Linked DNA regions of Arabidopsis thaliana. The protein of the gene in region 1 interacts with the protein of each later gene in a pairwise test. Each region holds a gene or a part of one and is shown on either strand. Other genes may lie near its edges.

What was found. Proteins that work in one complex are often made in the same cells at the same time.
Region 2: the proteins of AT5G47920 (region 1) and SOB3 interact in a two-hybrid assay, tested with the Arabidopsis thaliana proteins (one large-scale study listed by BioGRID).

Annotation. Positions count from the first base shown.
Region 1 is NC_003076.8:19,402,163-19,407,093, forward strand, and holds AT5G47920 (transcription elongation factor), read right to left. Parts: upstream 1,986-4,931; 5' UTR 1,860-1,985; coding exon 1,296-1,859; 3' UTR 1,009-1,295; downstream 1-1,008. Other genes in the region: AT5G47930 (Zinc-binding ribosomal protein family protein), read right to left, coding at 4,261-4,381, 4,847-4,875.
Region 2 is NC_003070.9:28,702,384-28,708,009, reverse strand, and holds SOB3 (Putative AT-hook DNA-binding family protein), read right to left. Parts: upstream 3,048-5,626; 5' UTR 2,479-3,047; coding exon 1,570-2,478; 3' UTR 1,319-1,569; downstream 1-1,318. UniProt on the Arabidopsis thaliana protein: Transcription factor that specifically binds AT-rich DNA sequences related to the nuclear matrix attachment regions (MARs). Acts redundantly with AHL18, AHL22 and AHL27 in the regulation of flowering and regulation of the hypocotyl elongation.

The sequences.
Region 1 (4,931 bases):
TTATATGTTATTAATAGTGTTCTTTTAGTTAAAATGACAAATAATTTCTTAACTCAAAAGCATCTTATATCACAACTCTAGCTAGATTAGTTTAGCTTTTCATAAGTCTTCTTGCGTTTACGTCTTTATTTATGGGTTGATACCCTATTCACTACTTTAATTTGCCTTGCACTTGGGATAGTTTAAAAGACTTTAAAATTATGCAGCTAGAATATAATCAAAACTTGATATAAGTATCAAAATAATTAAATACAATTGCTATCGATAATAATCAGAAACAATCGTTATGAATGGTTAAGTTTGTTTCCTTAAAATGGTTACGAATGATTAATTTTGTTCCTTAGGTAAACTAAAAGTTCAAAAACAAATCCAACCTACTACAATCTAAGAAAACTGACAAAGTTTATGGTTGATTACAGAATAGGTCGCTTGAGCGTCAAATTAAGATAAAGAAGGAGACTTATGTAGAGCCGGCCCTTGGGCCAACCAGGCGAAGCATAGGTTTGCAGCTGCTAATAATATAATTTGAGTTTGGCTTTTTTCTAGAAAACTTTCTTTAAGTCTAGTGGTTCAATTATGGTGGGTACATCATCAGTTCATGGGTTTGACTTTTGAGACAAGTGAGACCGAATTTTTTTGTTTTTTCAACAAAATTCTAAAATAGATAAAACTTATGCGGCCCATTTCATTGTTCACTTGTAGGCTTGTAAAACTCAAGGCCGGGTCTGGAGTGTGATGTCAAGACTCAATATTATAACACTCTACTTCATATTTCACTATTTTGTGCATTATCTAGCTTCCAATTTTCTTTGCATTTCACAGTGTATCAATAGTTACTTTAGTGATGTCAAGATTACACTTTTAACACATTTTAAGTGTAGTTTTACAACATAAACTTGTGTCTCTAATTGGCAAAGTGAATTGCTAACGAGATCATGAATTCTGACTGTTGAGTCTGAGCGAATGAAACAAATGGACCAACATATGATTAAGGCCTGGAGTGACATATAAGCCAAAAAATAATGCTCTATATTGTAACACTTAAAAGATCTTACACAGTACGGTCTCAAGGAGGAAGAAAACATATTCCGCAAAGCAGATCCTTCCTTCAACTTCAACATATTAAATGAAAACAGATCTAAGAGACCGTAATATTTCGATCCTAGAAAATAAGAGAACTCGAAGGATTTATCATAGACAACACAAAATAAGAACGTACGTTAGCAAAGATCATAATATGAATCTATTATTCATATCTATTGCCAACATGTTTATATATATATATGGATATGGGTTTAGGTGCCTCGGGCTAGCATTTCTTGATACCTCTTGAAGGACAAGAGTTTCTGAAGCTTCATCTGCTTATGAAACCTAGAAATAAAGAGATCCGCGACATGGTCGATCTCATCTTCTAGCTTGAAATTCTCTCCTTCTTCTTCCTTCGAGGTCCTCACCATATCTATCACAGAACTACCTTGACCTTCCTCCTCCAAGTCCCCGAAGTCCTCCTCTCCTTCGAACAACGTGTGCCTCAGATCAGGATACTTGTCGCTTTCCTCCTCGTGAACGTCATATTCCTCATGATGAGCCATTGTGGATGCCTTGCTGTTGTAGAGGACTATAGCCTTGTTCTTGTCTTGGTCCTGGTCGTTATCGTCGTCTTGATCCGCATGGCCCAAGAGGTGGTGAATCTTGTTGGAAATGGAACGGAACCCGAGTTTCTTGTGTTTCACTAGAGACAACATGAGTACTCGTGTCTTGAAAGCACTCGTTTTGTTCTTTATGGCTATAGATTTTGCCTTCGCCATGGAACTCAACAATGCAACGATATGTTTCATCAATGCCGTAGCTTTCTTCATATTTTTTCTTTGTAAGAGCTTCTATAATAGTGTTTTACTTATGTTTTGGATGTTGCTTAATTAGCATGGAAAGGAACATTGGAGGTGAGAGCCCTTCGGGGATTATATAGACCATGGAAAGGTACGGCCACAAGTCATGGCTTTATGAGTCTTGTCGTATGTTTTTAAATTAACGGCTATATGTTTTACTTAATGGCGCAGCAATCTTCTCACAGTTCGCCACGTGGAAATAAGCCATTTGATGTAGTGGATCACTTGCTTTTTCTAGTTCAAACTTTATGCACGTTCTCTTTTATCAAATTTCATCGTGCCTACAATTTACGAACGTAAGCATTTGATATTTCTATATTACTTCTTTCTATGATAAAGGATCTCAAGAAATTAAGTTTATGTTGATTTCGTATAAAAATGTGGCCTAACGAGGTTGCTTTGCCGATGAGTCGGGTATGTTTTTTCTTATAAAGTATCATGCGACATAATTCATGCCTACTATGAATTTAAAATGGTTATTATTTTTCGACTAGAAGTCATGTTTGGTACGTCAAAAATATGGACAAAGTTTTTGTAAAGCCAACATGGCGTTTTTAACATTCTAAATGTTTAAAGGGACTCTTGAGTGGTTCGGGTGTTGAGGCCTCTAGACTCCGGATCATACGTTCCAACAATTGGAGCCTCTAGTCAACAAGTGGACTCTAGATCGCATTGTTGCGGTATGGTTATGAGAGAGCACTTCTGAAGAGCTTCAACATAAAGAATTTCGAGAGTAAAACATCTCAAACGGTTTTATTTACGCGTTTTGCATCCCGATCGATTAATCTCTGAAATCCAAAAATTCACCCCCAACGAGTATAGTTGAAATGGATCGATTAGTCTCAAGTGGAATAACTCTTCTGTAACTTCTTTGTTTGATTTTTGTTTTTGTGAAGAATGTACTATTTAATAAGAAAGATTAATTAGAGCAGTTGGGACTGAGATTACAGAATTTGTAAATGACATAGATACATCCACAAGGAATTCAAACTATTGTCCACTTCTTCTTTGAAAAGATTTGATTGATTAGCAACTTTGTTTTTAAATGTGATTAACTTTACATACGAAAGCAATTGTACAGCTAAGTTATCTAAATAAAAGTGTCATTTGTTACCCAAAAAGAAGTTCCATCAACTTTGTGTAAAAATATGTTTTTATAGAAAAAAACTCAGAATTAGGAAGATGCTTCAGTAAAGTTACAAAAACAGCTTAAGAGATCCAAACGTAAATTCATTGTACTTCTCTCACAACTACTTTTACTTTAATTTTTTTAATAGCTATTCTTATTTACTTTTTCTAAAAATCACAAAGATGAGATGGAGAAAAAGCATTTGATGTTTTTGTATAATTGGAAAGTGTTTACTCACTTGGTCTCTCTCACATTTCAAGGCGCCGCGAAATTGCTTGCTCATGATATTTAGCTTTACAAGATTCTCTTTCACTTAGAACCACACTTCAATCCCTATACTTTTCTAGATTTCTAGATTTTAGATATTATACATTGTCGATGTTGAAAGGAAAACATAAGATATTATACATTGGTCTTGTCATTTATCAATTATTAGTTTTAAGATTGATGTCAAAAGGAATAGTTTCATTGCTCAGTATCCAAATTTGCACAAAACGAATCGAGTTGTTTCGATTTTAGACAATAGAGTACAACCGATATTAACAAAGAGTTTCTTGCAAAAAATGGGGTTCAATTGTTGTAGTATGTCAATATGACCATAGATTTCAAAAAACTTCTCCAGCTCAGAGTTTTAGATCTCAGCCCGTAAAACATATTTCCAGTCTTAATGCATGTTAGAGCCTCGAGCCATCGGATAAGACATTCCCATATTAGATTGCAGAAGAGATAAAATTGGAGCATTGTTTAGAACAATTCTTATTCCAATTCATCAAACCAGAGACTAAACTCTCAACCAAAAGCTAACATCTTACAAACACGTCACTCACCGATGTGTAGCGTTCAGTCCTAACCTAGTTAGCTAAAGTTTAACAACTTCATCAACTTAACTTCATAAAGCAGGCCGAATATCTCATGTTAAGTCAAGTCTGAGTATCTTCTAGTCATAGATAGCAATATTACAATTCTTTTGCACAAGTCATTAAAATTTAACCAAGGTTGTTTGTTCAAATTAAAGAATTGTAAACATGAACAAGAAGCCAGACAACTGATGCAATCCGAGAAAGATTTAAACTTAAAATGAAAGCATATTCTGTTTCAACAAGACCAAGTTCTGAACAATTACTCAGCTAGTAGTTTTATCATGCATTCAAAATCTTCTCATAAGCAGAAAAACGTCATAGATATCAAAACTACTAAAGCAAAACATCTGCGAACGGATGAATGATTCGTGAGATCTCAATCTCACTTCTTCCTGAAAGAGCATCCCTCTTGTAGCCTCGCTTTACCACCGGTGGGCTGGCACAGAACTGTCTGACAGTTTCCACATACCACAACAGTTTGAGAATGGCTGAACACAGTGGTTCTGCAAAATAACAACAAGCAATTCATCACAAAGTGTAACCTCTTTACAAATTCACAATCAATACTTATTTAAGAGCTGGAAAAATTCTACCAATACCAAACTTCTAGTTGATAAAACAGCATTTAAGCTGAGCAAAATCGACAATTCACAACTGATTCAATAAGAAAACATTCAAAATAAGGTATCTAAAACACTAGTTTCGTACCAATCTATATATTCAAGAATACAACATTCAAATCAATATGTTTTTAAGTGTAACCTCTTCACATCAATACAAATTCAAATGATGAACAATTTCTTCCAAATACCAATCAATAGGTTCAATAAAACTTTATTCAAAATAAGCAAAACCAAAATCACTACTAATCTAAAACAGTGAAAGCTTTCCTCTTTATAAAACAATCTTTATTCAAATCCAATACCAAACAACATTGTTAAGACTCTATACAAAATTAGTAAACTCACATGTTGAAGCATCCCTGACACTTAACATCCTGAAAAAAATCACACAAACAATACAGAATCAGATTCATTTCATCGCATCAAATGT
Region 2 (5,626 bases), on another chromosome or scaffold:
ATAGTTAGTAGTCTAGATAGTGTAGAACATATGTTACTTAAAGGATCTATATATCTATCCAATCATAATTCGTATATATAGGGAAACCTTCACATTTACGTTTACTTATCAGCCGTTCGTATAAAACACACAATGAACAAGATTTCTTAACCCAATCGTTGCTCAACTGCATGTAAGGCACTTGACATGAGCACATGGATATCTTAAAAAGATAAAGTCACAGTGCATGTATCGAAAAGGTCTCAAAGTACATTACCCTTTATTCTCTTTACATGGTTGAAGCCCTAAAATGTCAAATATATGAAAATTATGAAAATAAGAGGTTTTTAAACCATCTCTCATTCTCATTGTATAACAGTAAACATGATGAGACTCCATTTCTTATATACATAAATGTCACCTGTCTTCTCTTAGAAGCTCATTGAAGATATTTCACCACAAATCTCCTTTGGACATGCATTGGTCATGTACAAGCTTTTCCTTTCACTTGATTTTCTTTTTAAATATACGTTTTCATACGGTCCATACATAGTTTCCCTAGGGACTTGATGCATTCCTCATTTTCACACATCTTTGTACTTAAAGCCCCACTTGGCTGTGTTGTTATAGACTTTCCTAATCCTCTAAAAGGAAACTGATAAATGAAACTCTGGGACAAATTTTTCATATTTTGGTTTTGGCAGGTCATGTAATGTTCTCGTGTTTAAGCCATTAACTTGTAACCGTCGAAAAATCATGTTTATATCGTTGTAACGGGTGGGCGAATCTTTTCTTATAATCGACAAAAATATAGTATGCAATTATCACAGTAACCGCTGTCTTTAAAACAAACTCATAAAATTCTAAATAGTTATTTAGTTTTTCGTAAAATTTCTAAAGCGTTATTTACTTTTTGGTAGATTCTTAACGCGTTATTTTCGTGATTAATTGATAAAAACGAAGAAATATTCATATTGATCTCATCGAAATACAATGTAGAACTCAGTTGGGTGAAACATGTACTAAATCAGAGATTCCATGCGTAAACAAGATATTCAATCTAGAGATTTTCAAATCATAAAATCTCGAAGATTCATGTATGGTATCTAGATGAATTAAAAAGAACAAGATGTTTGATTTGTTGGTTGATTACTTGATAGACATAGTAACATAGATTGAGTGATTACCTTTGATAACTACTCAAAAAGGGGATTACACATACCACATCCATGATATATACAAGTATGAGCCATTTCAATATTTCTATAAAATGTACTCAATAACTTTTTTGTTATCCAATTACAAAGGTAACTAAGTGATATATAAAAATTGGCTTCTAATAGCACTTTTATTGTGAACTCAAGCATATAACAAATAATATATAGGGACAGCACGAAACCCTAGTGATTAAAAAAGAAGAGAAAATGCAGATGGAGAAGTATATCATCTCAAGACGAATTCAAATATTCATATATGATCAACTAAATTAAAAACCAAACGATCCCCAAACAATGAAGATGATTTTTTTTTTCTTTTAATTTTGAGAAATGAAATTTGGTTACAGCTATGTTACGGACATAATTTTCAATTCTAAAAGGCTGGTCTTGGTGGTGCGGCTGCGGCTGCGGCTCCCCAACCAAGCAAATGAGGATCACCGGCAAACTGATCATAACCACTCATGTTACCTCTTAACTGTCCTTGACCGGCTCCAGATGGTGGTGATGATGACGTGGCCGGCGGTGGACCACCTTCTCCTCCTCCTCCCTCTCCAACTTCTCCTCCCTCTCCACCTTCTCCTCCTTCATCTTCAAGGGGAAGCCTTTCGAAAGTTGCATTAGAGAACGATGCAGCCATTAGTATCACTGGACCCGAAGCCACAAGCGGAGCCACCACGTTTCCTCCAATCACCTGACCTTGAACGCCGGAAAGAAAGATAGAAAGACCACCGGATCCTGGCGGCGCAGGGGGCGGCAACACCGTACCTGTGAGGGAAAGTATCTCAAACCTTCCATGTAGAGCCACAACACCTCCGGTTCCACCATTTGCCCCATGAGCCGCTGTCGTTGCCGGCTGCCGGAGACTGACGTTAGCCACCGTGCCGTTACCACTGAGAATGGAGACTCCTCTTCCTCTCCTGCGAGCGTAAGTGGTAACGCTCTCGACTATGTCGGCTCCAGATGAGACTTCAAGAACATGAGATCTAAGCACGTTGGGGCTATCTCTAGTCACTATCACCGGTGGCTTCGGCTTGTTCTTGGATCCCGGAGGACGTCCACGTGGACGTTTCCCGGTTGAACCAGAGGTAACTGGGTCGGAACCCGGATCCTTGTTGGAGTCAGATTCATCATCTGAATTCTGCTGCTGAGGCTGAGGTTGAGGCTGAGGCTGAGGCAAAGGGTGAAGTTGAGGCTGAGGTTGAAGCTGGTGATGAAGCTCAGGCCTGAAGAGGTTGTGAAAGTATCTAGAAGCTCCTCCGGATTGATCGTAACCACCGTCCATGGCAGCCGCATCTACTGACTCTTCTTGTTCTTGTGGCTCATATATATAAAGATATTGTGAGGGTGAAGATAGAATTCATATAAGAGAAACTTTGAGATCCATTGGAGAAGTCAAATTTCAGGAGGTGAGGAGCCAATAGCTTGAGTTGATCGGTTACACAAGCCGACAAAAACAGAGCTAAGAGACACAAATCTAAAGGGTATGCTTTGTGTGTTAAACCCTAACTCGCTTTAGGGCAAGAGAGGAGAGATTCTTCACCCGAGACGGTGTCGTATTAATTGATGTGAAAGAATTCTAGGGAAGCTTCAAATTAATTCATGTGCTGAGACTGAGAGTGAGTGACTCTGCAAGTACTTTTTTTGAACGAGGAAAGGGAAAAAAAAAGCAATAGACACACCGAAAATTTAGCTGAATATCATTCCTTTCGCATTAAAAAATAAAATACGCATAGGGGCATATATTAATATACGAATAATTGCATATTAATAATATACTTGAAATCCATGAAAAGACAAGGGTTTCGAGTTTTTCTTCTCTGGATATATGCGTTTCCCTTTTTGGCATATAGCTTCAAACCAAGAAAATAAAGGAAAACTTTTAAGAGTTAAAATTTAAAGAAAAAGGAAATTAAGAAATTTACAATTTAAAAGCCAAAGGTATATGAATAGGAGATGGAAGAAACATGCTGATATTAAATTGTTGGAATTTTTTTTTATTTTTTTTGATAAAGTTGTTGGAAATTATTATATAGAAAACAAACGAGAAGTCTAAATATAAATTATTGTATAAGTTTTTGAAAGTTACATATCAAATTTGTCCGCATAATAATGCAGTATTCCCTAGAAACAAATGTAATACTCCCACCATTTATCATTATATGCTGTTTAAAGTTAATTAACATATAGTATTAAAATTTAATTAAAGTTTCACTTCTATCTTTCATTAATACACAATTATATTTCTTTCATCAGTTAATACGTTAGAAAAACATAGATTTTTTTTTTGTCAATCTGTTAGAAAAACATAGATAAGACATGAAATTTTAACAAAAAAAAATATTTGCATTGAAAATATAAAATAAAATTTATCCTGAAACAAAATTAAAGTCTTAAAACGACACTTAATTGAAACAGAATAAACAGATGACAAAAAGTAAAATAAAAGTGAATCAAAAATGTTAGCCATGAATCGAATTGCCTTGAAGCGTGTGCATGTAACGCCTTCCATTATGAATTTCATCATTTTCTTTAAAACCGAGATTCTACCTATTCAAAACTAAATTCAGTTTCAAAATGTTTTTGGTCTTGGTCATATATTCTAAAACTAATTAAAAACTATTACCATGAGTGAGTGCACTTCAATTTTTATTAAACTAATTATAAATTATTATTGATAGTAAAAAAAATATAGACCAAACTATTTATTATCAATGTATATTAACTTTCTAAGTTAGAAATTCATGAAATTCGATATAATCTACATAAGGTACCCCAAAAAAGTGTATACAGATTTTAAGTGGGATTTGTTTAAAATAAACATATAAAAAGCATCATCTCTCCAGTGACATGTGTTAAGTTTCTACATTGAAAATTTCATATTTACATCAAAAGTTTGAAAATATCAATATTATATAGGGTAATATTAGAAAGTAACCATGGAATTGAAAAGAATTGAGAGAATAGCCTTGTGTCAGGAAACTTAGGTAAATAACATTTTCTATGGTGGATAAAATACTAAAATATCCTTAGATTTTCTTGTTTTTACAAAAATATCGGTGGTTGTAGTTATAAAGTTTTTATGTATTTGTCTAAAATAATATGATATATTTACAAAAGAGCATGCAATTCTTTAAAATACATACAGAATATATATACACGATATATATGTTTCTCTGAAATAATGTGTTTTTCAGAAATAGCACGAAATATTTATAAAAAGCATGCAATTCTCTTATAGATTGCGAAATTTAAAAAATTACAATATTACATGGGTTTTTATTGGATAACATGACAAATATTTATTTATTTCATGAGTTTTTGTTGGATAGCATGACAAATATTAATATATTAGTGTTAATAACATGTTTTGTTCTTAAAATACATGCATTTTAAAATCAGATATTTGTTTTAAAATCAAATTTAATCTCTTATATCACAACGACATTGACGGAGAATTCAGGTAAAAAGAGAAAATAAAGAATGAGAGATAGAGAGATTTCTATGGAAAAAGAAAGAGAGAACATGTGGGTGAACAAAAATAAAGAGATATGATGATATATTTTATGAGAGGTGGTGAAGATTATTTTAGGAGAGGGAGAGAGAAATAGAAAAAGAAAATGACATGGTGAATCTGAAGAAGATGAATTGTGTTAAAGATGAAAAGAGAAAGAGAACTCTATGGCTAAAGTCTCGTAAAGAACATGAAAAAGAAATAAAAGAAGGAAGAAGAAAGAGAAAGGCTAAAATAGACTAAATATTGCCAAAATTTCTGTAACCGACAAGTACTATTTGGTTCTAAGTTATTTTGTGTATTCTTTTCAACTCAAAGGTTATTTCTTACATATAAATATGAGTCAAACCATTCTTTGCTTTTTTTGCAATTTATGAAACACATTTTTAGTATGTTAATAATTATAATCTAAATGTCTTTTAAATTTTATCAAGTATAGAAAAAATTAAGACGTTTTTTTTTTCTCTTTTTTTCCTGTCAACGATGTTCATTGGACCTCCTCTCTCAGTCTTTTGCTAAGAGGTGGAACTTAACATTTATTACACTATGCGATAATGTATTGCAAATTAAATGTCTTTTCAGTATTCTAACATAGAAGAAAATAATGATCGAGATTCATTAGTTTTGTAATCGAACTCTCGTGTTTAGAACACCACTTATTTTAACAGATTTGAGCTAATATGTTCATTCTTTCAAACGTTGAATATGAACTATATTTAGAAAACTATTGTTATACATAATTGCTTTCAACGTTTAGAATACTTTTAATTATTTAACCATACATTAGTTGGTTAATTAATTAACAGCATTTAATATTAATTCGCACACATATTCCCTCCTCTATGCTACTACTTGATCTTGGTAGTACCAAGCTATATATATTAAAGAAATTGAAATTCTTACCAAAGTTTCCCCACTT